2 linked regions of the Sus scrofa genome follow. The protein of the gene in region 1 interacts with the protein of each later gene in a pairwise test. Links are inferred from orthologs where the notes say so. Each region holds a gene or a part of one and is shown on either strand. Other genes may lie near its edges.

Region 1 (15,340 bases):
TTTTCACTAGGATTATGCAAATTGAAGGAAGAGCAAACAATGTTACTACTCTGTTTTGTAAAGAAATTCAAATGTGTTAAGAATTGACAAAAAGTTTATCCCTTTAAGCGTCATGGCAATTTTTAAAAGAGACTTATGAGAAAGCGGAGTTCCTGCCATGGCGCAGTGGGTTAAAGACCCAGTGTAGGGAGTTCCCATCGTGGCGCAGTGGTTAGCGAATCCGACTAGGAACCATGAGGTTGTGGGTTCGGTCCCTGCCCTTGTTCAATGGGTTAACGATCCGGCGTTGCCGTGAGCTGTGGTGTAGGTTGCAGACGCGGCTCGGATCCCGCGTTGCTGTGGCTCTGGCGTAGGCCGGCGGCTACAGTTCCGATTAGACCCCTAGCCTGGGAACCTCCATATGCCGTGGGAGCGGCCCAAAGAAATAGCAAAAAAAGACAAAAAAAAAAAAAAAAGACCCAGTGTTGTCTCTGCAGTGGCTTGGGTCACTGCTGAGGCACCAGTTCGATCCCTGGCCCAGCACAGTGGTTTACCCAGCATTGCCATAGCTGTGGTGTAGCTCGAAGCTGTGGTGTAGCTTGCAGCTGTGGCTTAAATTAGATCCCTGGCCCAGGAATTTCCATATGCCACAGGTGTGGCCATTTAAAAAAAATCTGCCTAAATGATACTGTGTTATAAAGCACTTTTCTTCACTCAACAGTAAGTTTTGGGGTTCTTGGTTTGGTTTTTTTTTTTTTTATTTTTTTTTTGCCACAGTGTGCTGAGGCTTGATGTGTTGATGTGGGCTCTCAGCTCTAAGGGAACTCCCAATATTAAGTTTTTAGATCTATTTATATTGCTGTATGTACATTCAGTTCATTGCTTTTAATGTGCAGTATATTTCCATTTTACTTATCCATTCCCCTAGTGATGGACATCTATATTGTTTCCATTTTTTCCCTTCCTATCAGAAAATGTCAAAGAATATCTCCACACATAGTTCCATATGGGGTTAAATGAGACTTCCAGTGGGGTTTTGTCTCATCCTCACATGGCCAGCTTCTCCTCTTCCTTTAACCCTCAACTAAAATGTCACATCTCTTACCATCCTATCTAAAGCAGGTTATTCTTTCTCAGTTATTCTTTCAGTCCCTAGTTTGTTTCTTTCAAAGGATTTACAAAACATTGAAATATTGTATTTATTTCCTTTTTTTTCTCTCTCCCCCACTGGAACATAAGCTCTATGAAGGCAGGTACTTTGTCTCATGTACTTTTGTATCCTCAGCATCTAAGACAGTGTTTGGCATAAGTAGGTGCCCAATAAATATTTTATGAGTGAATGAAGGAAGAAAGAAGGATTAGAAAAAGGGATAAAGCTCTGGAGAGAAAATATGAGGATGATCCCAGGGAACTTGGCCAGTTGAGTCCTAAGGTGAGAAAAGCCGGTAAAAAATGATCTATGATGAGAAATGATTGGGACCCTAGGAATTGTGAAATCTGATACTAAAATTTAAGTTCTTTTTGTTTCTGTGCTGTACCCCCCTTTCAGTATCCTCAAATTTTTAAGCCTATTTCTCATAAAAGCTAGTTAGGCTTTGGAGAATCAAAAAGAAGAGGTCTGTGTCAATACTTGGTACAAAATATTATGAAGTACTGACAGTAACTGCAGATGAGGTAGTATAAGAGAATGAGGGAAAGAGGCAGCAATAGGTATTTAGAGTGTGGGGTGATAAGAAGCCACCAGAGAAGTTGACCTCTCCAGAATCATCAGAGTACTCCGAAGGATACTGTACTTTCACCAATTACATGAAATAGGAACTTTATATTTATACATTAAAATAAAAGGTAACCCCAGAAGATTTGGAGACATATATTACACATTTTCATGAGCTTATGCAGCGTTCTACAGAATTCATAAGACATTTAGAACTTAGGCAAATATATTTTTCCATCAGTGGTGTCATTGGCTGGTTGACAGTTGAGACTATTGGTAGCAGATGTAGAGAAACTAACTTACTAACCTGACTCTGAAGCTCTATCATTAGAGGTAATGGAAACTTACAAGGAGATTGGAAAGATCAGCCTATCCTATTCCCTGTGGAACATTTGAATTAAATCACCCCTGGTACCCCTCCATACTCCTTCCTCATATACACATGGCAAGGCACATTGGATATCAGGGAATGCTCCTGGCACTGTTTGATGGAAATAAATCCTGCTTAATAGTGTGTTGTGTGAATCTCCTCACAATCAGTCTCAGGAAGTACCGGAGAAAACTAGTATCCACCTTAGGCAGCATGGGATGCATGGGAGATGCTTTCTGACTTGCTGTTGAACAGTGACTAAGGCACCCTGGGACCTTTGATGATCTTGATGTGATAGAGATAAACTGACTCATTGTTTCATCATGAGGCACCTTCAATGATATATAACCTTGAAAAGTGGGGTTTTTTTTAAGATGAACACTTTGGTCTTGCTGAAAGATGGACTCAGCCTGTTTTTCCTAATGATTAAGTAAAGTAAGTTTCTATGTATTTTGCTGAATGGGTGGAAATCATAGAATGGGTTAAACACAAGAGCTTTGAAGCAAGTAAGGCTTGAGGTTGAATTTTGGTTCTGGTACTTGATCACTGTGACCTCAAGCAAGAAACCAATGATCATCACTTTACAGGGTTGTTTAGACTATTAAATGAGATCATGTATACACAGCAGTTAGCACATAATGAGTATTTAATTATTTAATTAATACCTAAAAACACACCAAAAAATCTAATTAAATACCAAATCTAATTGGTAATTATCAGTAATAGCAACTTAAAACAGAAGTTATAACCTTTGTAAAGGTTTATATCTTTGTTACCTTTGTCAGAGTTTCTCCATACAGATGATAAAACTTTTGTTCAACTTAATTTACACAATATAAACTTTTACTCTTGAACTGTGCTTTCAGAGATGATTGTCTGAAGTTAAACCTGTAGAATCTCTGATCTAGAATATATGATAATAATATTCCTCTGGTTGCTCTTCAAAGCTAAGGCTTTTTTATACCTGGTTTAACTTAAAGTTTTCTTAGACATGCTTGTTCTTGTGTTGAGATGAAGCTACTGTATTAGGTAGTCATTCTGGTGTTGGTAGTAGATTCTTAGAAACTTTGATTTTTTTTTTAAGTCCTCCAACCCAAGGTGTTCATTTTCCAGGTAACTGATTTAATAGAACGGGTTGAGGTGCCATGGAAGATTATTAAGCCAACTAGCACAGGGATTCTGGGTGTAAATTTCTACCTTTGATTTAATCCAACTTGAACCAACTGAGCAGCTTATGTAAACAACCTACAAATATGTACTGAGTTGTAGGTGGAGAGATACCAATGATAATACAAACCAAGTCCTTGTCTCCAAAGCACACAAGCCACAAGAGTACCTGGGAACACCATATGTATAACAGAGAAATGCTAGTCATAGGACATTCTCAATCTCCTTCTGATCACCAGTTAAATATTAGACCTTTGGTGGCACACTTTAATTAAAATACTCAAAATGACACTAAAACAAGACAGCAGTAACTATGAAGCAGACTCCCCTACTGGGTGATATTGTTTTGCAATGTCTGTAAATCCCTCTGTAGGTGGCCTTTCCACTTGGCTGTCTTTTAACTTTTATATTGCTGTTTGAGCAAAACTGTGCTGTCCTGACCACAATATCATATCCTCAAAAGACAAAGATCTTTCATGCTCCAGCAAAAAAGGGGTGATTTTCTCTGGTGCCAGTTTAATTTTGGCCTCTGTATGCCTCAAGTGGAGCCCCACTTTACCTTGCAAGATGGTTCAGTCCACTCAGCTCAACATTCTAACTGTTAGATGTCCCTGAAATAGTATGTGTTAGTTGTAGAACCAATACATTTCACTCTATGGGCAGAATTGGTCACCATATTTTGGAAGCTCCAGGTACACCTGTGTGCCTTGGCCAACTGTTTGAGGACTTCATCTCTAACCCATGTAGTCAAGAGTAGGGAGAAGGATGGGAACTGATGTAGGCAGGAACGGATGGACCTCGAAGGATGGGCAAGATTTAAAATTGTAGATGCAGAAATGGTGACTGTTCCAGCTGAGGAGAATGACATTGCCTGTTTCATTCTACAGCATAAAGAATTTTCACTTCCAAGTAATCTTTTCAACTTCACTTCTTGAAGTGCGGGGACAATCTCCATAACAATTCAATTTATCCAAAGGAGGTTGTACAAGTTTCTGTGATGTCATATCACGAAATAACAGTGCCCTTCTTTCACTTAACAAGGTTAAAAAGTACAAGGTACAGACCCATATAATTGGGAGGTTCAACTCTGCCCTCCTATATTTGATTTCTGATTTTTTTTATTGACTGTTTTTCAGAACGTGAAATCCCCTTGACACTTTTCAGTACTAGCAGAAAAGTTCCTGACTCCTTCCTAGCATTTGGCACTGTAAGCTTTCCCTCCTTTAGGCTTGCTCTGACACCATACTCTTGGCTCTCCTCTCCTTCTGGTCATTCCTGCTCAGGCTCTCTGTCCCTTGAAATGATTTTGGCTTTCTCTCTTCTCTCTCTACAGGCTCACAACGGCAAACTAGGGATTCTTAGAAACTGCAAAACACCTTGAGGTAAGCAAGCTCCTTAATGGGGCTTACTAGCTCTCAGACATTATTCTGCCTTGGTTAAATAAAACTGACCCATAGGGACAAATAATGTGGTAACCTTTGTTAGGGAAACTTCCAGCTACCAAATCCTGCCCAGGCACAACAGGAAAAACCTTGAAAGGAGTCCCAGTTTAAATTTCTTTTGATATTGTTGTGCACAGGCCTTAAAAAGATAAGCACCCCTGAGCTTATTTCCCGAGACATTCTCTTCGAGCCCATTTTTAGACAGAAGTTCCAAGCGACTGAATTACACAATCTCGTTCACTGAACTGCCCCCAGCGCCAACCTGGGCCTGGCACAGAGCGGGTCTGGGGGCTTATCTCTCTTGTGGTGACTGTGTCTAGAGTTCAGGTCCTTGGGTAGGCGGAGGGCAGGCAGCCAAAGTGCCAAAGGCTGAAGAGCAGAAAAAGGAGCCATTGTTGGCTTTGCCTAGAGGTGCTGCCTTCAAAATAACTCGTCCTGGAGTTCCCCTCGTGGCTCAGTCGTTAACGAATCCAACTAGGAACCATGAGGTTGCGGGTTCGGTCCCTGCCCTTGCTCAATGGGTTAACGATCCGGCGTTGCCCTGAGATGTGGTGTAGGTTGCAGACGCGGCTTGGATCCTGCGTGGCTGTGGCTCTGGCGTAGGCTGGTGACCACAGCTCCGATTAGATCCCTAGCCTGGGAACCTCCACATGCCGCGGGAACGGCCCAAGAAAATGGCAAAAAGACAAAAAAAAAACCCCAAAAACTTCTCCTGAAGGAACAGACACGCCACAGCTGAGGCCAGTGCGCCGGCACTCGCTCCAATTTTCACCTAGACTCCAAAAACGAAAACAACCTAGGGCGTCGCCTGAGCTCCGGCGGGTTTCGGGGCGGGGACCTCCTGCCCCGCGCAGACGCGTTGCGGCGGACCGGGCCCGCCACTGACGTCACAGGAGCCCCGCCCTTTAGGGGGAGCGGCGGGAGCGCGCGAGCTCTGTCACGCAGGCGCGTTCGCGGGTTGTAGGTGGTGCTAGAGGCTGCCGGGGGGTTGTAGGGAGACGGCGCTGCCGCCATTTTGTGGGGTGTTTGTCGCAGCGCCTGTAGAGAGAAGACGGCGGTTTGGCGGCCTTTCGCGGCCAAAAGGCCTTTTGCTTTTGCGGAGGTAACGTTTCAGGTGGGGTGTACTGGGATGGGCGGCCTCCCAGTCTTATAGGAGTCAAAGCCAGGTGTCGGAAAAACGACCGGGTTCAAGGCCTCGGCGACCGGAGTTCTTTCGCGGCACAACTCTGCTCGTGGCTTTTAAAACCTGAAGTTGCCCAGATGTCATGGTAAATTTAAAGTCCTAGGGCGGAAAGACCTCGGCTCTGCTGCTTATTCTTCACTGGGAGCTCAGGCTGCTCGCATCAAGGCTGCGGAGGCCTTTGCTCCTCCCGTCGGCCACAGCGAGGACCTGTCGGGAGGCCCTTCGAGAGCCGCGGGGGGTTGTGTTGTGGTAGACCCAGCGCTCCCCTCTGTGCCTGGTCTCGGTCGCCGGTAGCATTTGGGTGTTTTCCGGAGTCGCATATCTGTCCCTGTCTGTGAGTGAGCCAAAGGCCCTGGGCGGGTAGGCGGGGGTCGGCGACCGGGCGTCCGAGGAACTGCAAGTCTGCAAGTCCAGGATGGTGGAAATGAGCACGGGAGAGGCAGAAATACTGAGAGGCTCATCCTTTGTGCGGAACTGTATTTTTCCTAAGGTGGAGCTTACCCTTGTGCGGCAGATCTGTATTTCTGATACTTGTATAGCTTGCTGTCCTTGATCCTTAAGCAACCGCTATATGCTTGTCTGAGCCTTAAGAAACAGCATTCAAAACTGCCTGGGTCAACCACCTGGTCCTATTTTATAGCTATGTTTGTGTGATTGTGTTCCATACATACAGCCACAGGCTTCGGCTTCTTGTTATTTATTAAATGCAGTCCTCTTGGATCCATCTAATTGTGATATTTCTAGCCACATTAAATATAGAGAGAGTGCATAAAATTGTCCGCATAAGATATGTCAATCAGAATGCTCACTTAAATCAATAATATAGAGTGTTAAAGGGCAGTAGAGAATCAGATTCCTAAGATGGATATAAACCCGTAGATTTATTCTATCTGCTGTTTTTATTGAAGTATGTCTGGTGATTATAACATGTAGGATTCTTTATTAATTAGAGATGGTGTAACAATTCTAGATTTTCTTTTTTGTGTATGCGAAAGAACCTTGTCTGTGTAACCAGGGTTTGGGATTTTTCTCTTGGTCTCCTGAGGTAATATTTCTGAGCATTATTAGTTGGGGGAGGGGGGCAGAGGACGCACAGGGGACTTCCTAACAGTTGAATTAAAAGTAGTGAACTTAGCTAGAGAAATAAAAACCTTTGGCTCTCCCAAGATGCTTATTCTTAGTTTATTATTTGCATATTGATAATTCTAGTTAAGAATTCTGCCTTGTTACAGATGAGCCAGTTATGGCTGACAGTAGAAGGAAAAAGCAAAACCGAAGTAGGCACATATATTTTGCAAAAACTGCATTGTAGTAGTCATAATAATACCTTTAGTCATCAGATGTTGTAATTTTGCTTACTATAATTTAAGAATGCTTAACTAAGCAATTTTAAAGAGTTCTATGTGGTTAAAATACAGTTTGGGTAATTGAAGTGTCAGGAGAATTCCTCTAGAAAGAAGAATTTTTTTTGATGGCATTTCTGATGACCTTTTGACTCAAGTTAATTTGTGTGTCATTTATTTCAGTTTCCCATATTCAGGTAACTCTGTGTCAAATCAGAATGCTCACTTAAATCAATTTCCAGTAAAAACCCTGAGTAGAGTTTTAAGAATTTTGTTTTACCTAACCAGTGCCTTCTCTTCCTTTTTAAAAGCAAGCTGAAAGAGAAGCTACATTATTAGAAGTATACTTGATGGGCATAGAAATAGCATTAGCGAGAGAAGTCACTGAAAAAAATCTGCATATTTGGTGGCTAGATTTTCTTAGGGAATACCTCACAGGAGATTTCTTATTTCAAAGTCTTTTTTAATCCGTTTGAAATCATTTAAATGTTTACCTGGATTTGTTTGCTTGTTACTGAGTCATTTGGGCAAACTAAAGGAGGTAAATGAACTAAGCTGGTTTGCTCTTATTTACCTTTTTTCAGCTCCTTGCTGAATTGTGAAACTCCCCCTGTTCAGCAGTTTGGGTATCATTGTTTCAAACTTAACTGTTTTGTGAAAGAATTAAGTAGGGAAGAGGGAGATCCTGATCCTGAAAGAACCTATAAGGTTGTAGATGGAGTCAGGAAATTTTTGCAGTTACCATCTGATTTTAGTGTGAACATGTTCATCCTTATAAGTTCATTCCCAGATCTACAACAAATATGTTTAATTTTAAGAATGGCTGCAGGATGATCTGAAAATAAATATGTTGGATAGAGAAAATGAGTTCAGAAAATACTCTTTTATTGCTCTTTCTGTGGAATATTGTGTTGCATTTATGCCCTGTTTATTTTTGTTTTCAAAGTTTGGAGTCATTCTGAGATTAAGAAAAAGGACCTTTTTTTGAGTGAGAAAAATAAGCTTTATTAATGGCTTTTTACCTTTAAAACTAAGTTGTCTCCTATATTTAGTATCCCCAAGTGCTTCTCTGACTCCAGTTATTTGTAATACAGTATTTTGCCAAAGATGCATGACACTTGTGATGTTCGTTTTAAATTAGCTCAGATTTAAAGTTAACGTCAGTAACTTAATAATTTGATAACATCAACAACTTAATTGGCAGATCAGTAATAATTTAACATAGAACAACGATGGTAGAAAGAAAGGTAATGATAAAAATAAAACCAAAAAAGTTATTATTTCTAGCAAGGTATTGTTGTTTACTGAACGATGGCAGTTAGCAAATGTTAGTTGAACACAAGCATCAAGCTGAGAATTTATGCAGAAGAATTGGAAGAAAATATATTAAGGTCTCACAGTGTTACCAATCATTTAGTACTAGATCTGCATGCCACTTAGAATCATCTGACATACCGTGGAATAGTGCCCCCATGTCTTGGAAATGCTACCTGCAAATATTTTAGAACCTCTGTGACCCCCCCATATGCTGAGTGTTTTTATATTAATATAAAATATTTTACTGACTAAACATAACCGTCTGTAACTTCCACAACTCACTTTTCATTTCCATTCATAGATGCGGCATTCCAAAAGAACTCACTGCCCTGATTGGGATAGCAGAGAAAGCTGGGGACATGAAAGCTACAGTGGAAGTCACAAACGGAAGAGGAGATCCCACAGTAGTACACAAGAGAACAGACATTGTAAACCACATCACCAGTTTAAAGAATCTGATTGGTAAATTGCTTTTTAACTAGTAGCATTTTAACACTAATAGTTTTAATGCTTTGTCATTAGCTTATGTAGCTTTCATCTGTCAAATTGTTTTCTAAATTAGTTTAAAAAATTCAGAAAATATTTACTGAGTGCCTATTAGTTACATGCTAGACACTGTAGATGCTGAGTTGTGAGTAAAACAAGAGTTCTTATCCTCATATCTTTGTCAGGGAGCTGTAGGAGACAGCTAATTGAGTCCCAGCTGCCAGAAATGTAGTTGGGGGCATTGAGACTTGAAAGTAAGTTATGATTGCTCACACAAAAGTAAATGATTAAAGGACTGGTTAGCGCCTTTATCTTGTTTGTAGGAGAGCACTTGTTTAGGGTTCCACGAATGAGAGTTCAGGGGCAAGGAAGAGTTATCCAGGTGAGAAAAATATCTTGTGCCATTTGAGTGCCTTGGGGATTAGTCACTTAGACTGTATCCTGCAGGTTTTATTTGTAGATAAGACCAGTGGATGGTTGGATTTTTTAGAAGCTTGACTATTTTAAGAACCATTCTTTTGCTTAGGCAGTAGCCAGTAATTTTTAGGGAAAGGCCTCAATAAAAATTTCTGATAGCATGTGTCCTGTTTTACTGTATTCTAACCAGTGTAAAATTTGGAGGTAGTACATTTATATAGAATTGAAGGAGTTTTAAAGTTCCTAAATAATTAAACAAAGGTTAGGTGAGTAGAGTGTCTTTCATTCTGTCCTCCATTAATATCCCTTTCTCATTTGTTTTTGTTGGTTCTATGTTTTCTCCTTGTTTTGTGCAGATGTTCCATTGGGACTGTTTGCCAGATTGCTTTCTAAATTAGCCAGCTGGGGTTACTTTAAAAAACAGTATGTAATTTTTTTCCTTCTCCATGCTAAAACAGATTTGTTCTGCAGAACAGTGAGCTTGTTCATTGTCAGTGCAGACTAGTCATTCTTCATCACACGTTATCATTTGGAAGAAAGAGGGAGAATCTATGCCAGGATTTCGATGAGCTAATTAATTTCTACAGAAAAATATCTGTACCCTATATTAAAATAAATATAAAATAGTCTATAAGGCTTATTAACATCATAGTATAATCATTCGTTTACTGTGCATTATATGTGTAGAAAGGAAGTGATGTAATATACATTTCATTCATGTTTGTTATTAACTACATAAACATGATACTGATCTAGTAACCACTGGGCCAATAGTTTCTTCTTTGACATTGGCACCAGAGATGTCTGGTAGCAATTGCTCTCCATAATCTGGAGTAGTCTAATAGTCTTCTTCAAGATTCAAAACTAAATAAGCGTGTTTTATGAAATTATTGAAAAAAGAGAAAAATGTAGAAATACATAAAGGTAATCTTGATAAGATGATAGTCCCCTATTACTTGGATGTAAAATTACTTTTAACTATTTCTTTTGAAAAATATCTTTGTATACAAATCTTTGCCTCTGATTATTTCCTGAAAATAATTCTAAGAATGATTCTTAAGAAGGGACAGTTTCAGGTTAAAGGATGTGAATTCTCATAAGGCTCTTGTTGCATATTCAACATATTTTTCTAGAAAGTTTGTACCAAGTTATACTCCTACAACTTGTTCCTTCATACTTTCACCATTCTTAGCTATTCTGAAATGCTATTTGAGTTTTGAAATTTCTCCTTAATTTATTGTCACGTTTATTGACCACTTGAATGTTATTTTTGTATTCTTAGCCTATTTTTCTCTATGAAAGTATTTTTCTTACTGATTTATAAGTACTTTTATTATTCTGCCAAATATCTTACCTTTTTCCAACGTATATTGCAGTATCTTTTCTTTCTGATTTGTTTTTTGGTAGTAAGTAGCCAGTGAATTACTCCCTTCCTACAGGGTTAATTAATTTTTAGGAAGACTGATGTGGCTGTGAATACTGTGAATAGCCTTAAAAATGTTTTCCTGTAACACAGAATATCAAGCCTTAAATCAGTGAGTCTCAAACTTCAGTGTGAATAGAATCACCTTAGAGCTTGTTTAAAATGCATATTACCAGGCTATTCAGTGAGCCTGACCTGGAGCCCGGCAATCTTCATTTTTAATAATTTAACATTTTGATATTGTTAAACTTACCACTCTTTGAGAAACACTGTTTTGAGCTCTTTAGCTTGACATTCAAGATTTTGGGTGACTGTTCCCAGCTTATTTTGCCTGTGTGAAAATTGCTTCTGCTAAAATTGTCTATTTACTGTTTTTTAAGTAACATGTAGACAAATTCATCTCTAAGTCATTGTGGCTAAAAGGATCTATAAATGTGAGATGGTAATAGGCCATTTTTCTCCCCTTGCATATCCACCTTGTCTAAATCCTAACTTCCCTCTAAGATGCAACTCTTTCCTTCTTTTTCATGAAATCTTCCCTGACCATTTTAAGCATTTTGAGTTTTTTCCCTTCTGTCCCTAAGCACTCATATACAGCCTTTTGGCATTTACTGCATTCTTGAGTTTTGGGGTTTTTTTGTGTGTGTTAGTAATCTCAAATCGTTCATTATTTGTTGGCAGGGCTTTTGCCATGTATATATATATGTATGTATATATATATTTTTTATCTTCCACCGGACCTGTGTGGAAATAAAATCAAATGCCCTCTAGCCTCATTTGTCCTGGCTATTTTGAAGAACTGCAGTGAAATATTCACTGGCCATTCAGTGAATATTTTTAGAAATATCCCAAGTGTTCATTCTGTTCATTCTGTCCATATAGCCTTTATAATTCTGTAGACTTTGTTTATGTAATCTCTAAGCCTTGGTTTTTGTAGATTGAGGAGGTCTTCATCTTTTTAGTTTATCCTTGTGATATTCACCCCATGTTTGTTATTCCGTAGATTGTTTATGGATCAGCAGCTCTAATTTCATGCACCATTCCAGCTAGAGATTATTAGTGTTTTTTTTCTGATAGATTTCGGGCTTTAATAGGGAGGATGCCTTACAGAATTAAACAGGATGTCCTTAAGAATATGGTAATTTCTAGCTTGATGTATTGCAGTTTTTTCCCTTATAGTTCCAAGCAGCTGATAGATCCTTGACCTAGACTCAAAAGTCTTACCCTAATATTGTAAGTTGTTTCTCCAATGACTAGAACTCAGGGCTGACACTGGAGAAAAGGAAAGAGGGTTTCTGCATCTCCCCAGCCTGGATTTGATGCCAACCCTGTTGAGTAGCAGTTTTACAGATGCTTCTCCTTTATTTCTGCCTAAACCAGCCCCCTGGGAAAAAGAATGACTGCGTATTCTGGGGAAAAAAATGAGGTTGGTGAGGGCAATCTAGTCAACATCTGTCACTCCATTGCTTGTCAGGATTATTTTAGCTGATGTGTCTGACTGGGCAGGTGTCCCCTCTCTCCCTCAGTGCTCCATGTGCATCCCTCTTGAAGCTTCGCACTCTGTTGAAGAGGACACTCATCCCAGGTAGAGAGGGGGATGGGAAACTGGGCCAATTGAATCTATGTTTTTTCTTTCCATCAGACCAAGGCTACTTAACTGGGATCCATTGACTTCCTGAGGTCCATGACCTCTGAAATTCCTTACTAAGTTTTGTTTATGCATTTTTGTGCTTCTTAGAGAAGAGGGTCCAAATCTTTCATCAGATTTTCAAAGGGATCTGTAGATTTAGAAGTTATGCACCATGGCACCAGATGATGCTGTTTTTCATTAATTCTTGTTTACTTTGCAAGCAGGAATGACAGAAAATTCCAAATGCAAAGGGAAGTAGGGAGTTGGGTAGCCCTAGGCAAGCAATTACAAGATTGTTTTCTCATTTGAGGGGAATATGTTTTAGATGTCTTTGGCACATGATACAACCTTCAAAAGCTGTGTTGTCTGTTTCTCAAAGATTAATACATGAAGCTAGAAATACAAAAAGGAGAGGAGATATGGGATAAGTGGTGTGTGTGATACGATTGGCACATATAATAGGACTTAGAACGTGATGTGCAACCATGGCCTATAATTTTCCTTCTAGGGAGCTCAATTTAGTCACCTTTAAAGCGAAAGTGCTGAAATAAAATATATTTAAGATTCCTTTTAGCTCTAATAAACCTTTCATGAGAGAATTCTCTGTGTGCCAGGGATATCTAAAATTCACTTATATTGAAAAAGAAATCTTTGTCTGCCTCATGTTGTATGTGGCTCTGGGAAAAGGAAAAAAGCTCAGTTACAGACACATATATCATGCATGAGACTGATGAATTTCAGAACAGCGGTTTTGTGAATTTTTGGTCTTAACTTTCTCCAGAAGGTAAAGGGACACTAAATCAAGCCAATACTGAATATAATTGAATGATTTGACTCAAGTATCGTTTCTTGATAGAGATGTATGACGAATTTGTTGGTTGGTTAAAGTAAAATTACTAACTTTTATGAGTTAAATATAAATTCTGATTCGTCAATTTGTATTTTTTTTTCTCTTATGAGTTAGCTGTTTATACCAGGAATTCTTGAGAGAATGTTTTGTTTTAACCACATTATTCTGGAATGAAGAGAGTAATTTTAAATCCTTTAATGTGTTTGCAGTCATTATTTAGAAGCAAGGTCCTTGAATGAGAGAGATTATCGGGACCGGAGATACATTGATGAATACAGAAATGACTACTGCGAAAGATATGTTCCTAGACATTATCACAGAGACATTGAAAGCAGTTATCGAATCCATTGCAGTAAATCTTCAGTCCGAAGCAGGAGAAGCAGTCTTAAAAGGAAACGTAATAGACACTGTTCAAGTCATCAGTCACGTTCGGTATGATTGATTTTGTTTTTATTTTGGGTGAATACTTATTTGTGTATAAAAGCTCTTATTAAGCCAATAAGTTTGGAAAAGTATATATATATCTATATATATTAAAAATACTGTGACTGTAATTGTGTTTATATTACTTGAATCCTTAAAGGAAACTTCCAAATTCTTAAAACTAATTTGTATTTATTAGCTAACCCTAATTTGCCCACATTACTCATTTTCTGTAGACCAGATCATGAGTTTCTTGATTTTAATATTAAAAATATTTTTGTGTTTTTTATAATACAATTTTATGAAAAGATGAAGCACCCATCTTTTCTTTCATCTGAAACTTTTTTAACCTTAAAAGAAACCCCTTTCCCAATACTTGTAAACAAATATGGAAAGTTGCACTGGTGGATATTTAATCCTGCATGTAGCACAGTCCCATAGCACAGTGCATCATTATCTACAACTAGTTGCATTGGAATTCTAAAAATGGGTGCTAAATGGGAAATGTATTGTCTAAAAAGCCTGCCCTTTTTTTTACATTCACGTATCTTCACCTGTTTGATCAGTAAACTATAAATTATTATTTTCCTCCCCAAGTTTTCATCAGTAGAACTAGCATTGATTAGATTGAACATTGAAGTTAACTAGCCTTTACTTTCCCCTTTTATTTTAATCACATGTGTTTTAAAATATTGCTAAATAAACAATTTAAACTAATCTTGACATTTTAAAACATTTTCCTGATGAACTAGACATCCCAACTCACAGCATATACTATGTTATGACAAGAGGTTAATAGATCATGACATTGCTTTCTTTAAATTTCAGACTTCAATTAAATCAGTATTTTAAAGAGACAATTGTGTTGTTTTTTTCTATTGCCACTTTAAGTATCTTATCTGAAAATCTGTTCCTTGCCATGTTTTTCTTCTGTAACATAAACTGTGCCCTGTGAATTTCTGGGGACTGAATTTGAAATTGCTCCTGCCAACTGTTCGTGGCCTGGTGCTTATCTGAATGCCTGAATATCTCCCCGCTGAATGAATTGCGTATTCTGCCCTGAATTCACTCTGATATATTGATTGGCTGGACGATCTTGGTGCTGCCCACTTGCCGTTCCAGAAGAGCCACCGAAGGAAAAGATCCAGGAGTATAGAGGATGATGAGGAGGGTCACCTGATCTGTCAAAGTGGAGACGTTCTAAGAGCAAGATGTATAGAATATTTTTCAACACTTTTTAAACTTTGCAGACAGAATAATCTTTTTAAGAATAGTTTGTCAGCGGGGGGCTAAAGAACTCTTCATTACTTTTTTATTTTGTTTTTTGTGGGTTTGTTTGTTGTTCTTTTGTATTTCTTCTTTTCTGTAGAGTTTAAGTATTTCTACTCTAAAGTTCCAAAATAATCAGTGGAATTTGAAATTAGAGCAAGAAAGATAGCTCTATCTAAATTGTTTTTGTAGCAGCTGAAAATAAAATAATTTGAGTGCTGAAACCTTAGTTATGCTTTGATAGAGATCATTTGGAAATATTCCACACTTAAGCATTCATTGTTTGAATAACTGATAATTTATTCTCAGGTTCTTACACTTCTTTCT
Region 2 (14,627 bases), about 11 Mb from region 1:
ACTACAGCTCAAATCTGATAACTGGCCCAGGAACTTCCATATGTTGGGGTACAGCCATAAAAAGAAAAAGAAAAAAGAAGAGAAAATAAAATGGGGAGTTCCCTGCTGGCCCAGTGGGTTAAGGATCTGGTGTTGTCACTGCTGTAGTTCTGGTTACTGCTGTGGCGTGAGTTCAATCCCTAGCCCAGGAACTTCCACCTGCCATGTGTGCAACCAAAAATAAACAAATAAAATTAAAAATAAAAGTAAAATGGATTGATGGATGGAAAGAGGGATGGATGGATCAACAGATGATAAAAACAAATGAAGGTGAATATTAATGGTGGGCAACTCCGTGATCTTTGTACTATTCTTTTTTTTTTTTTTTTTGGTCTTTTAAAGGCTACACCCTACCCTCAGCCTATGGAAGTTCCCAGGCTAGGGGTCTAACTGGAACTGCAGCTTCCAGCCTATGCCACAGCCACAGCCACAGCAATTCAGGATCCAAGCCTCATCTGTGACCTACACCGAAGCTCAAGGCACTAGATCATTAACCTGAGCAGGGCCAGGCATCGAATCCACATCCTCATGGATACTAGTTAGGTTCGTTACCACTGAGCCATGACAGGAACTATTCTTTCAACTTTTATATATGTTTGAAATTTTTCATAATAAAATAGTAAAAAAAAAATTATCATTTTTTAAAAGGTGATTTCAATAAAAATAATTTCTCTACAAGGCCACGATACCTTATCCAAAACTCCTGGAGACAGTTAGATTTCAGAATTCAGAATTAACATGGTACAAATGTCAAGGGCAGCACTTTATTATCAGATTAATATTTTTCAGTATAACACGATCTTTTTTAAATGCTGCGCCTGTGAAATACGGAAGTTCCCAGGCCAGGAAGTGAATCCGAGCCATAGCTTTGGCAATGCCAGATCCTTTAACCCACTGTGCCTGGAACAAAACCCGCACCTCCATAGCAACCTGATCCTTTAATATGTCTTTTTATTCTATGTAGGTTAAGAGAAAAGACAAGGAGTTCCCGTCGTGGCGCAGTGGTTAACGAATCTGACTAGGAACCATGAGGTTGCGGGTTCGGTCCCTGCCCTTGCTCAGTGGGTTAAGGATCCGGAATTGCCGCGAGCTGTGGTGTAGGTTGCAGACGCGGCTCGGATCTCGCGTTGCTGTGGCTCTGGCGTAGGCCGGCAGCTACAGCTCCGATTGGACCCCTAGCCTGGGAACCTCCATATGCCGCGGGAGCGGCCCAAGAAATAGAAAAAAAAAAAAAAAAAAGAAAAGACAAGAATAGCCTTACACTAATTCACATAAGGTTTTGCCATCAAATGAATTTGTGCCAAGCTTACAGAAAACTTTTCACTTTGCTGGCTTTTTGATTTTGGAATTGCAGATGAAAAACTGAAAACAAAAAAATATAAAGGACCCTACATCTTAGAAACTGCTCTTCCAGGTTTAAGAGTAAATAGTACCTGGACACAAGAAGATAGACAAAAGGACATTCTTGTGCAACAAGAACCAGCAGCATTAGTAACACCTGGGGAGCTGTGAGAAATTCAGAACCTAAGGCCCTACTCCAGGCCACTGAATCAGAATCTGCATTTTAACAAGATCCCCATAGGTGATTCATATACATAGTAAAGAGACAATTTGTGAACTTATAAAGCTGTTTGTGGAGTTCCCCTTGTGGTGCAGCAAAATGAATCTAACTAGTGTCCATGAGGATGCAGGTTTAATCCCTGGCCTCATTCAGTGGTTTGGGTATCCGGCATTGCTGTGAGTTGCGGTGTAGGTCACAGACTCAGCTCGGATCACATGTTGCTGTTGCTGTGGGGTAGGGTGGCAGCTGCAGCTCTGATTCGACCCCTAACCTGGGAATTTCCATATGCCACCAGTGGGGCCCTAAAAAGCAAAAAAAAAAAAAAAAAAGCTGTTTGTAATAGGAAATAATCTAACCATCTGTCAACAGCAAAGTCGATAAACAAATTGTGGTATATTCATTTAAGCGTGGTTAAAAGGAATGAATTAGATTTACAAGTCCCAGTTATCTCAAAAGCAATGTGTGAATAAAGCTGGTTGGGGGTAGTTCCCATTGTGGCTCAGCAGAAACAAACCCAACTGGTATCTATGAGGATGAGAGTAGGATCCCTGGCCTCACTCAGTGGGTTAAAGATCCATCTGTTGCCATGAGCTAAATGCATCTCAGATCCCAAGTTGCAGTGGCTGTGGCTTAGGCCGGCAACTGCAGCTCTGACTGGATTTTCCATATGCTGCAGGTGCAGCCATAAAAAAAACAAAAGAAAAGCTGGTTAGGGGTAAAATAGCATTTCATTATCTAAATAGAATAGGGTTATCTAAACTCTAGAAATGGAATTCCCTTGTGACTCAGCAGTTAAGGATCCAACATTGTCACTGTAGTTGTTTGTGTGGCTCCTGTGGGGTACAGGTTCCATCCACGGTCCGGGAACTTCCGCACACCACCAATAAAGAAAAAAAATAGTGGAGGGTTTCAAAAAGTGCAACAAATAACCTGTAAATGTTGTATGTATATATGTATACATAAACATTTATGTTTCTCAAGATCTGCAGCAAATAAAGCAAAGGTTAATAAAGGTTAAATCTAGATGGTGAGTACATGGTTTCAGATATTATCCCCTATGCATTTCCATTTGTATTTAAAATAGTTCATAATAAAAAGAAAAATAAAATGCAGGAGTTCCCGTCGTGGCTCAGTGGTTGACAATCCGACTAGGAACCATGAGGTTGCAGGTTCAATCCCTGGTCTTGCTCAGTGGGTTGGGGATCCAGCATTGCCCTGAGCCGTGGTGTAGGTCGCAGATGCGGCTCGGATCCGGCGTTGCTGTGGCTCTGGAGTGGGCGGGAGGCTACGGCTCCGGTTGGACCCCTAGCCTGAGAACCTCCATGTGCCGCAGGAGCGGCTCTAGAAAAGGCAAAACGACAAAAAGGCAAAAAAAAACAAACAAACAAACAAACAAAAAAAAACAACGGAAGAAAGTGGAAATGGTGTGATTGCACTCTTCAGGAGATTACTTCTGGAAATAAGTTGACTACAAAAAATTACTTTTCCGTGAAAACTCATCAATAAGCCCTTTCCCCAAACGATCTTGGTTATACCCATTATTTTGGAGATGGAGAAATTGAGGCCCAGAGGTCACAGCTGAGCAAGCAGGCGGCGCAGCCGGGAGCACCTGGGAGAGCCTCGCTCGAAACAAGGGTTGGAGGCGTGGTCCTTGAGGTCAGGCTAAACCTACCGAGGCCCAGGCCTTCCCGGCCAGCCCCGCATACCGTGTAGAGCGTCAGGTCGACATGTCGCCACAGCCACCGGTCGTCCACCAGCCTCTTCCAGCGGTGACAGACCCTGGGGGAGGGGACCCGCCGTTAGAACGACCACGGCCCCGCGGGGTCCAGGTCTGCACCTCCTAGCATGCCCCCCGCCCGGCCCCTCCCTCCCGCGGGGCGGGGCCGCACCTGGAGATGCGGATCCGGTCCCGGACCGGGAGGTAAGAGAAGATCTCCAACAGGACAGAGTCCGGCAAGTCGGCAAAAGTCGCCATCATCCCGCCGACACGCATTTCCGTTTCCGTCCAGAGGGACTCGGGGACTCGTTCTGAGGGCGACCAAGGAGGTGGGGGAAGTGAGGGTGCTGGCACGGAGGTGGTCGCGGCTTCAGGTAGCCAGCAGAGATTCAGCTTTCCTCTTGCGGGGACGTGGCTGGGCACTGGAGCCAGAGCAGCACAGGATCTGAACGCCGAACCAAAAATGCAGCTGAGAACTGGGACTAAGCCGGGAAGGCGGGGCTGAGGCGGTGACGCAAACCAAGGGCGGGGTTAAGGGGGGGGAAACCTTACTCTGGGGGCGAGGCCGGGACGAGGGCCGAACCCAGAAGGCGGGGCTGGGGCGGTGACAAGCCCTGAAGGCGGGATTGAGGGCAGAGCCGAGAGCAGAGGACTCCGCAGAGAGAGGTCTCAGCTTTAGAGCTTTGTGATGCATGTACATGAGGGTAAATTTGCAAGAGTGAAATAGCTTTTGTTTTGTTTATAAATAGCTTGTTAAAAGGAGTGTTGAATTTTTCGTTTTTATTGATGGTGTCAAATGATTCTCCTCAGAACCTGAACTGACTTCCTTCTCGTAAACAGCACTCATTTTTATAAGTTGCAATTCATAAAGGCAGTGAAATTTACTCAAGCATTCCCGTATTGATGAGTATTCCGGTTGCTTCCAGACCTATTACCATAAACAATATTGGAGCTAAGCATTCTGTTACATATGTATGTATGTATATACGTATGCAGGTTTATGTACACACATATATATAATATACTTCCTATGTTTTTATTTCTATAGGATAAATAAACAGGAGCTGTGCTTATGGGTCAAAGGACATGAGGAGTTTAATTCTGAGTAGCTTTTGCCAAATCACACTCAACAAATGGCAATAAATGTTTTTAATACACACAAGAAATTGGAGATGCTGAAAACTGTTTCAAAAAGAAATGCAAACTCATTAAGATGTACATGCTAAATGTGTGCAATTTGGTATACCAACTGTACCTGAATAAAACTTAAATAATCTGTATGCTTACACTTATCCATAAATAAATTCAAAGTAAAACACTATGGAATTCACTTATCAGATTAAGAAAGATGAGGAAGCCAAAAAATACCCACACTGGCTCTGATATGAGGAAACAGACTTTCTCAACCACAGCAGTTGGGGCAGAATTGATGCAAAATCTTTGAAGACAGTTTGGCAACATAAGATTGTAGCCCCTGTCAGACCAAGCATCCCACTTCTAGGATCTCAAATTGTCAGAAAGAACGAGGTAAAAAAAAAAAAAAAAAAAAAAAAAAAAAAAAAAAAAAACAAAGGAGTTCCCGTCGTGGCGCAGTGGTTAACAAATCCGACTAGGAACCATGAGGTTGCGGGTTCGGTCCCTGCCCTTGCTCATTGGTTTAAGGATCCGGCATTGCATGAGCTGTGGTGTAGGTTGCAGACGAGGCTTGGATCCCGCGTTGCTGTGGCTCTGGCGTAGGCCGGTGGCTACAGCTCCGATTCGACCCCTAGCCTGGGAAACTCCATATGCCTCGGGAGCAGCCCAAGAGATAGCTAAAAAGACACACACACACACACACACAAAAAAAAAACCAGAGGATAAAACTGCAGCCTACCAGATCCTCAGGGCAGAGCCCCCTTCCCTGCCTGCTTACATCTCTCACAAGCATCCTATCCTAATAAATCTATTACTTGCCTATCAAAAGAAAGAAAGAAAAAAAAAAAAGTCAGTGGAGGGAGTTCCCATCATGGCTCAGCAGTAACGAACCTGGCTAGTATCCACAAGGACTCAAGTTCAATCCCTGGCTTTGATCAGTGGGTTAAGGATCCAGTGTACGTGAGCTGTGGTTTAGGCCAGCAGCTGTAGCTCCAATTCAAGCCCTAGCCTGGGAACTTCCATATGCCTCAGGTGCAGCCCCAAAAAGCAAAAAAGAAAGAAAAGAAAAGAAGAATCATCTCCTGCCCCATCAAGCATACAGGAGTGGAGGGATAGGAACTGTCACATCTAAGCTCCTTCCTCTGGCTCAGAAATTTAGGCAACAAGAGACAGAGAGGCCCTGCCCAGTTTGCTCCCTGAGTCATGACCCAGAACTCTCCCTCCTGGGAAGCATTTATCTCCAGCCAGGAGCAGCTCTGTCAGCAGATCCTTCAGTTTCCCAGACAGGAGGATGGAGCTGACCTGGCCCCTCCGTGACCACTGAGTCCCCTCATGGGAAGTTCCAAATGATAATTACCAGGATGTGGAAAGAGGTCTCTTACATAAGGTGTCCTGTCTCCTGAGGCACCTCCCTCTCCCATCTGGCTCCCAGTGGCAGCCTAGTCCTGGGACTTCCCATTGTCCTCCCCCTCTACTTCCTCAGGATGCCTTAGTCCAGCTGGGGTTGGCAGCCCCCCAGTAGATCCCCATTCCTCCCTCCAGAGGGGCCCAAACCCCCAACAATCCCAGACTTTATTTTCCTCCCCTTTCAGCAGTGATCCTCACTACTTTTCAGCCTCCCCCAGCCCATAACTTAGTATCATGATCCTGTGCTTGAGCCAACTTTGAATCAAACACTGAGAAATCAGTGTTTGTTAAAAATGCATTTACTTTTTTCTCCTCATTACAAAGTAACATATGTTCATTGTAGATAATCTGGGAAAACACCAAAAGTGCCCAAAAGAGGAATATGAGACCCAGCAATTCCACCATCTAGCTGTAACCACCATCAACAGCTGGTGTGACCTAGTTTTTTTGTTTTGTTGGTTTTGTTTTTGTTTTCTCTTTTTTGGCTTCCCCTCAGAATATGCAGTTCCTGCGCCAGGGATCAGATCCCAGCTACAGTTGCGACCTACAGCCACACCTGCCAAAATGCCAGATCCTTTAACCCACTGTGCCAGGCCCGGGATCAAACCTGAGTCCTGGCGTGGCAGAGACACCGTGGATCCCGTTGCACCAGAGTGGGAACTCCGTGACCTAGTATTCCTATGTGAATCCAAAGATGTGCTCCTTCCAAATTTCCCTCAGGCTCATCCTTGACCTTCCCATCTCTCCTCTTGTTCCATCTGTTCTTCTGCAAGAGGACGTCAGGGGCTGGGCCAAGACCAATCCTTCCTGCAATCCTAGGGTGGGAATTGCTATCCCCTTTCATAGATGAGGAAAATGAGAATCAGAGAAGGAAAGTGCTGAGATGACACAGCTTAATAATAACGCGTAAGTTGGGGTTTTCAGAGGGATTCTGCAGGGAGTAGAGGAATAACACGTCAAAGTTCTGAGGCAGGAAGGGCCTGGGACTCTAGCGTTTGAGGTGCGACTTATGGAAGTTCCTAAGCTAAGGGTCAAATTGGAGCTACAGCGCCGGCCACAGTCTCAACAACACCATTCCCTAGCCATGCCTGAGACCTACACTACCGTTCATGGCAACACCTGTATCTTTAACCCACTGATCAGGGCCAGGGATCAAACCCGCGTCCGCATGGATACTAACTAGTCGGTTAATATCGTTACCGCTGAACCACAACGGGAACACCAAGGTGGAATTTCTTAGACTTATTCTTTAAGGCAGCGCAGCACAGACAAGGTTACCAAGCATCTGCCCTTTCCCCAGGATGGAATCTCATGTCTTTCACCTAAACTCATCCCAATTTGAGAAAGTGTACCGGTTGAATCAGAAGTGGAGGCCCCTTTTCAGAGTGAATCCTTTTATGCTTTCCAAACTAGGAGAATACTGTCAGCTGAGAAAGTACAGTTCAACGGTTAGGTCTGTCTACTGGCAGGCTGGATCTAGGGAGGGGTGTTCCGTGTCACACCAGCCCTGGATCCGAAAGGCAAGGTTAGGATCTGGTACAAGGTGCCCCCTGCAGGGCGTGAGAAACAGCCCTGGGAGATTTTGCGCTTGTGCAGCTTCCAGCTTCCTTGTCAGTGTTGCAGGTTGGCGTGCAATGGGAACTTCATTCTGGTAAATACTAGTATTCAGGCCAGGATCAGGAGGCTCCTTCGCTTGCTGGCTTTAGTTTGCACCCCAGATGTCCCTGGCGAGATAGCCAGAGGGGAGGGCTGAGCAAAACGTTTCCAAACCCTGAATGAAGGCAGGAGGGCGGACCGGATGCCTCAGAACTCGACCTAAGCTCCCCGTAGCCCTGAAGCTGCAGTTAGAGGCTTCATCGGGTTCAAGAACAGGAGGTCATCCCCCCTTCCCAGGACGTCCCTCAGGAGCCCCTGGCCTCCCCAGCAGATGCCACACCTGACGGCGTTTCGGCACAGTGAAGGGCTTTCAACCAACGGCATCCAATCGGCTGGGCGCCAGTCCATGACCTCTGACTCTCCATGTTCCTTCTCCGCACGGGCTGCGACCTTCACTTGGCCCCGTGCACCGTCTGCAGGTGTCCTCCTGCCCAGGCTTGGGACCACAAATCCGCTCCTGGGAACCGACTTCCCGCCCAGGAGGCGGCGAACTCTGCGGAGTGTTGACAGGCACTGGGAGGAGCCAGGGCCAGGGCTTCCGGCCGAGCACTTCCGCTTCCGGTTCTTAGCGTCGACTCTGTCCCAGGCTCTACCTTCCAGCGAAGAGGTTGTGGCGTCTGCTGGTTCCAGGCGTTTCTTGGTGAGAGGGCCGGGTGGAGAGGGCTGGAGTCGGGGAAAGCTGATGGAACTTGACCATAGTGGATCAGCGGGACTGCGAGAGGCAAGGCGGGGCCTTCAGGCTACCTGAAGCGGGAAGGGGCCAGGGCGGGGGGGCAAGTGGGGGGTGGAGGTTTGGCTGCCTGGGTTCCACGGTCGCCTGGAGTCTGAAGTCCTTGGACACAGGATTCGGGGCCCAGGAGGACCTCAGTGTCGGGGATTGCGCGGGGCGTGAATGTAAGACTCAACAATTGGGGGTCTTGGGACCCTGGAAGACCCCTGAAGTCCAAATTCTCTTGCCTCCTCATCCCCACCCTGTGTAGCTCCAGACAGGATGATCGAGGTTGTTTGCAACGACCGTCTGGGGAAGAAGGTCCGCGTTAAATGCAAGTATCCTTTGGCGGCCAAGAGACAGTGGTTTCCTGGGGGTGCTTGGCTTGAGGCGGGCTGCTCAGTCTGTGCCGTAGGGTGATTCTAGTTAAACCTGGGAGGCGGGGACGGGAGTGGGATCCTGGCAGAGTGCATTCGGTCCTGGAATGCCCTCTTCCTCGTTCTATCTCCCCCTTCCATTTTCCTTAACTCCTTCGTGCCCAGTACGGATGACACCATCGGGGACCTTAAGAAGCTGATCGCAGCCCAAACTGGCACCCGTTGGAACAAGATCGTATTGAAGAAGTGGTGAGTACAGTGGTGGAGATGGGAGCTGGAAAGGAGCTGGCCAGAGACTTTGGGTGGGTGAGTGCTGCAGCCAGCCCTTTGCTCAGGCAGAACTCCTCAGCATGCCTCCAGAATGAAGAGCCTTTTTAAAGTTTTTTTCTGAAAACTTTTTATCCCTTAGGTACACGATTTTTAAGGACCACGTGTCTCTGGGGGACTGTATCCTTTGTGATTTCTTGAGGAAGGGTTTTCATACCCAGACTTGGTTCTCCTTGTTCTATATATAGACTGGAGTCTATATGAGATTATGCACATAATGTATTTAACTTAGTATGTGGTACATGGTGTTTAGAAAATGGGAGCCATGTGATTATTTTGTTGGGGCAGGAGGGTGGTTGGTGAAGTATTTTGACATGGCTTCTAAGACTTTGACACTTTGGAGTTCCCATCATGGCTCAGCAGTAACGAACCTGACTGGTATCCATGAAGACACGGGTTTGATCCCTGGCCTCGCTGAGTGGGTTAAGGATCCAGTATTTTGCCCTGAGTTGTGGTGTAGGTCACAGACGAGGTCAGATTCTGAGTTGCTATTGCTGTGGCTATGGCATAAGCCAGCAGTTGCAGCTCTGATTCGACCCCTAGCCTGGGAACTTCCATATGCTGCAAGTATGGCCCTAAAAGGCAAAAAAAAAAAAAAAAAAAAAAAGAGGGTTTGCAGTCAAAATATTTATTACTGAGTTCCACCTTAGTTGGGCAGGAAGTCACGGTGGAGTAAGACTCAGGCTTATGTGTTGTACAAGAGGATCATGTACTTTTTATTTAAAAGTTTGGATTCTTTTCAAATCAAAATGACCTAGTCCAAAAATGTGGCTACCAGCTGTGAGAGATGGGAGGGGTGGGGGGGGTTCAACCCCACCCTGATGATTCCTTGACTCATTTACTTCAGATGAAATCCATGATGGGATGAACCTGGAGCTTTATTACCAATAAAGCAGAATTCCTTCCCCCCCTACCTTGCCCTTCTCTCTTCTCCTACCCTCACCCCCCACAATAGTGTGGCTGCTTGTTTTTGAAAACTCATGTTAATAAAAACTTAGAGGCTACTTCATTGTTGTCATCTTTGAGTGAGGGCTGTCTCTTGAGGGGAGGGTTGGTATGTGGTTGTCACTATCTTCACAGTAACTAGCTGCTCAGTAAGAGTTCAGGATTGACTGGATCAGTGAAGAGTCAGCCAGTGGGCTGGGAGCCTGAGTTGGAAAACCAGAGCTTTGGGGCTTGCCGTATGTTTCTGAAGGTCAAGAAATCCTGGGATCACTGGCATCCTAATAGATAGAGGAACCTCTGAGTAAGAACAGTAGGTGCAGTAGTTAGGAATACTGGTTTGAATTCAGACAGACTATAGGTGGAATCCCACCTCTGCCACCAGCTGTGACTCTGCACCATGTTACTTAATCTCCCTTAAACTTCATTGCCTTATCCAAATTGGAAATGATGGTATTTACTTCTTTGGTGTGTTATGGAGATGAGATAAAGCATAGTTAAGCAGCCACATCTCCTGGTACTTATGAAATCCTAGTGGACAGAGTGAAACAGCGTGGCATATATTCTAAGAACCTAGCCTCAAGAGTCAGACCAACTGAGTCTGAATTTTCATCATTAGTAGTGGGATTTGGGGAATCAGCCTCTCTGGTGGTCGGTTTCTTACTCTAAAACCAGGCATCCCATCTCGAGATAATGAGGTAATGCAGTTAAAACAGCAGGATTCCTGGTGGTATTAGCCATCTCCATCCTTCTTCCTCTGGAGCGAGTAGGCAGGACATCTAACACTCCATTTCTATTACCCTGGCCACAGATCCTGGGGTCAAGCTTGGCCCTGTCTTTTCCCAAAGCCATATTCTGGAGCTCCCTTGAAAATTTCACCTAGGGAGTTCCTATTGCGGCTCAGTGGTTTTTTTGCCTCTTTTTTTTTTTTTAAGGGCCGCTCCCGTGGCATACCGAAGTTCCCAGGCTAGGGGTCTAATCCGAGCTGTTGCTGCCGCCAGCCTACGCCAGAGCCACAGCAACGCGGGATCAGAGCCGTGTCTGCGACCTACACCAAGCAGAAAGCAGGGATTGTACCTGCAACCTCATGGTTCCTAGTCAGATTCATTAACCACTGAGCCACTCCGACTAGGAACCATGAGGTTGTGGGTTCGATCCCTGGCCTTGCTCAGTGGGTTAACGATCCAGCGTTGCTGTGAGCTGTGGTATAGATCACAGACGCGGCTCGGATTTCGTGTTGTTGTGGCTCCGGCGTAGGCCGGCGGCAGCAACAGCTCTGATTAGACCCCCTAGCCTGGGAACCTCCATATGCCATGGGAGCGGCCCTAGAAAACACAGAAAGACCACACACAAAAAAAGAAAGAAAGAAAAAATTTCACCCAGAACTTTGCTCCATCCTTTTTCCCCTCTCTTCTGTTGATGTGGCTGATCAGTTCATAACCATAATAAGTCTGGCCCACTGCTCCTCCCTTCTCCAGGCTCCACCCAGCCTTCTGCCTGCCTTTCACCACCAATCTTCTTGGGACGCAGACCTGCCGGCTACCTGGGGTGCTGGCCACTGGTTATGGTCTCTCCTTGGTCTCCTTCAGCCACCTCCCTACCTTTGCCCTTGGCTTACCCCCCTGTCCCCAGGACTCTGCTTTCTCCTGACATGTCACAGATGTCTGTTTCCTGGTATCCCTGCTCTTCTTGCTCTTATATCTCAGTCTCCTCACCTGTCTTCCTAAAAAACAAACCCAACACATTTTTTTTAAAGTACACAGCAACTTTGACAAGGTGAGTCTTTGTGTTCAAATCAGCATAAAAAAGTACTGGTTAACAAGTAAAACCCACTCCTGACCTTGTTCCCTCTCCTGAGGTCAGGCCTTTTTCAATGCATTTAAATAAACACTATTTTTTTTTATTTTAAAGTTTTATTGATGAATAGGTAATTTATAACTTATTTATTTATTTTGCCATCTTAGGACCGCACTCAGACATATGGAAGTTCCCAGGCTAGGGGTCAAATTGTGGAGTTGCAGCTGCTGGCTTACACCACAGGCACAGCAATGCCAGATCCAAGCCACATCTTCGACCTATGCCGCAGCTCACAGCAGTGCTGGATCCTCAACCCACAGAATGAGGCCAGGGATTGAACTGGCATCCCCGTGGATACTAGTTGGGTTCGTTTCCACTAGGCCACAATGGGAACTCCTAAAACTTATTTTTAAAAGTTGACTATGCTAATACCTCTTATAAGGAAATCCAAGTGTGTTAAAAAAAATTAAGTTTCGTATTTATACACCATTCTGTCTAACAATGGCAGTCATTAACATAGCTGAGTGAGGAGTTTCCATCGTGGCTCAGTGGTTAATGAATCCAACTCAGAACCATGAGGTTGCGGGTTTGATCCCTGGCCTTGCTAAGTGGGTTAAGGATCCGGCGTTGCCCTGAGCTGTGGTGTAGGTTGCAGACGCGGCTCGGATCCGGCGTTGCTATGGCTCTGGCATAGGCTAGCGGCTACAGCTCTGATTAGACCCCTAGCCTGGGAACCTCCATATGCCGCAGGAGCAGCCCAAGAAAAGGCAAAAAGAAAAAAAAAAAAAAAATAGCTGAGTGAATCCAGAAATTTTCTGAAATACAACCTATAGCTTTTATACAAATGGAGTAATTTATACATTCGCTAATATTCATATACCATTCAGCAGTTTGCTTTTTTATGCTTTACCTTTGATTTTTCTATATAAATTACCTGTCTCGTTCTTTTTAATTAGTGTTTTTGTTGATTTTTGTTTTGCTTTTTTATTTATTTATTTTTTATTTTTTTAGGGCTGTATGTGTAGCATATAGAAGTTCCCAGGCTAGGGGTCGAATCAGAGCTGCAGTTGCTGGCCTACGCCACAGGCACAGCAACACCATATCCAAGCCGCGTCTGCACCCTATGCCCTAGCTAACCTATGCCCTAACACCAGATCTTCAAGCCACAGAGTGAGGCCAGGGCTTGAACTGGCATCCTCATGGATACTAGTTGGGTTCTTAACTGGCTAAGCTGCAACGGGAATTCCTTGCTCTTTTGTATCAAAAGGCAGTATGGAAGGATTTTTCTGATGATGGGACTGTTGGGTCTGGAACTATGGAGGTGGATGCAGGACTCAGCATTTGTCGATTGGGATATAGGCAGATAGATGGAATGCAGGCTGTCAGGTGAATCTGCCTGTATTACAAGTGAATCACATGACCCCACTGAATCCAGTGTGGAAGAAAGGAGCTGACCTAAATAACTGGAAAAGTATTTTACCTTGATACTATAAGGCTAGAGACAAAGAGAATTACAATCAAACACTGTACTGTAGTTGGTAAATGTATTCCTCAGAGCAGTATGATTTAGCCATCCTAAAACTAGTTTTATACATATATACACACACAGGGTTGGATAAATACATTGTACATAATTGGAGCCAACTGTCTTGCTGCTGGAGAAAGAAGTTACAAATAAAACTAGGAGGAGGTGCAGTGGAAGGGGCTGGGTAGAATGAATCCTGTGGGGCTGGAGGCATCAGGAATTCCCATGTGGCTCAGCCGGCTAAGGATCTGGGATTGTCACTGCAGTGGTGAGGGTCACTGCTATGGTAGGGCTCAGTTCATGGCCCTGGAACTTTGCATGCTGGGGGTGTGGCCAAAAACAACAACAAAAAACAGAGTTGGGAGGGATCAGTATGGGTTTTTTGTTGTTTAATATGTTTACTGTCACATGTAGAAATATAGGTGTGTGCGTATATGTATATATATATACATCTATGTCCTTGTTTTATCCACTTGGACCAGAAGTAGTGACACCCTAGTATCAATGAGCACACCTAGCACCCAGATCTTGGTTTCTTTTTGTTTTGTTTTGTTTTTGTTTTTGTCTTTTTAGGGCCGCACTCAAGGCATATGGAGTTTTCCCAGGCTAGGGGTTGAACTGGAGCTACACCTGCTGGCCTATGTCACAGCCACAGCCACACAGGATCCGAGCCCCCTCTGCAACTTACACCACAGATCACAGCAACATCAGATCCTTAATCTACTGATCAGGGCCAGGGCTCAAACCTGCATCCTCATGGATGCCAGTCAGATTGGTTTCCCCTGAGCCACGATGGGAACTCCCAGATCTTGGTTTCTAAATAATATTCTCCAATAAAAGGAACCAGGGCTCCTGGGAGAAGTAATTGGTTCCAGAGCTAGGGTAGGGAAAATACAAGCTGAGTGGAGCATCTTGTGTACCAGGAAGTAGTGCTCAGATAAAAAGAACAACTCGAACAACAAAATAATAATAATTTGGACTACAATCCAAAGAATAAAATAAATAGCCTCGAGCCTGTGCTTATATAAATAAATAACCATATGTACATGAATAGGAGAGAAGGGACACCTCATTATAAAAGGATTTCAGTTAATTGTAGAAGGAAAGAGGGAAATAGGAAATTACCCACCCTTGAGTCACCATAGTAATAATTGCTGTAGGCAAGATGCACTAATAGATGCTAAAATTAGTTTGCAAAAGTTAAGCAGAAATAGGATATTTGCCAGGTTACTGCTGTGGCACAGTGAATTAAAGGATCTGGCATTGCTGCAACTACAGCATAGGTTGCAGCTGTGGTTGGTATTCATCCCCTGGCCCAGGAATTTCCACATGCCAAAAATAAAAATAAAAAGTTTATTAGTAGGGAGTTCCTGCTGTGGTACAACAGGATCAGTAGTGTCTTGGGAGCCCTAGGATTCAGGTTCAATCCCTGCCCT

Evidence for each region.
Region 2: the proteins of CLK4 (region 1) and UBL5 interact in a two-hybrid assay, tested with the Homo sapiens proteins (2 studies listed by BioGRID and IntAct). The link is inferred for Sus scrofa from reciprocal best matches to the Homo sapiens genes CLK4 and UBL5.

The regions. Positions count from the first base shown.
Region 1 is NC_010444.4:79,723,844-79,739,183, forward strand, and holds the start of CLK4 (dual specificity protein kinase CLK4), read left to right. Parts: upstream 1-5,616; 5' UTR 5,617-5,774; exon of another isoform or gene 5,775-5,937; coding exon of another isoform or gene 5,938-5,940; intron 5,941-8,816; coding exon of another isoform or gene 8,817-8,874; coding exon 8,875-8,977; intron 8,978-9,774; coding exon 9,775-9,841; intron 9,842-12,367; exon of another isoform or gene 12,368-12,373; coding exon of another isoform or gene 12,374-12,426; intron 12,427-13,530; coding exon 13,531-13,753; exon of another isoform or gene 13,754-14,866; coding exon 14,867-14,957; exon of another isoform or gene 14,958-15,340. UniProt on the Homo sapiens protein: Dual specificity kinase acting on both serine/threonine and tyrosine-containing substrates.
Region 2 is NC_010444.4:68,698,082-68,712,708, forward strand, and holds UBL5 (ubiquitin-like protein 5), read left to right. Parts: upstream 1-8,501; 5' UTR 8,502-8,505; coding exon 8,506-8,561; intron 8,562-8,765; coding exon 8,766-8,849; intron 8,850-9,009; coding exon 9,010-9,047; intron 9,048-9,774; coding exon 9,775-9,818; 3' UTR 9,819-9,868; downstream 9,869-14,627. Other genes in the region: FBXL12 (F-box/LRR-repeat protein 12), read right to left, coding at 3,307-3,379, 3,490-3,593. UniProt on the Homo sapiens protein: Ubiquitin-like protein that plays a role in cell proliferation and sister chromatid cohesion by associating with spliceosomal proteins. Participates thereby in pre-mRNA splicing by maintaining spliceosome integrity.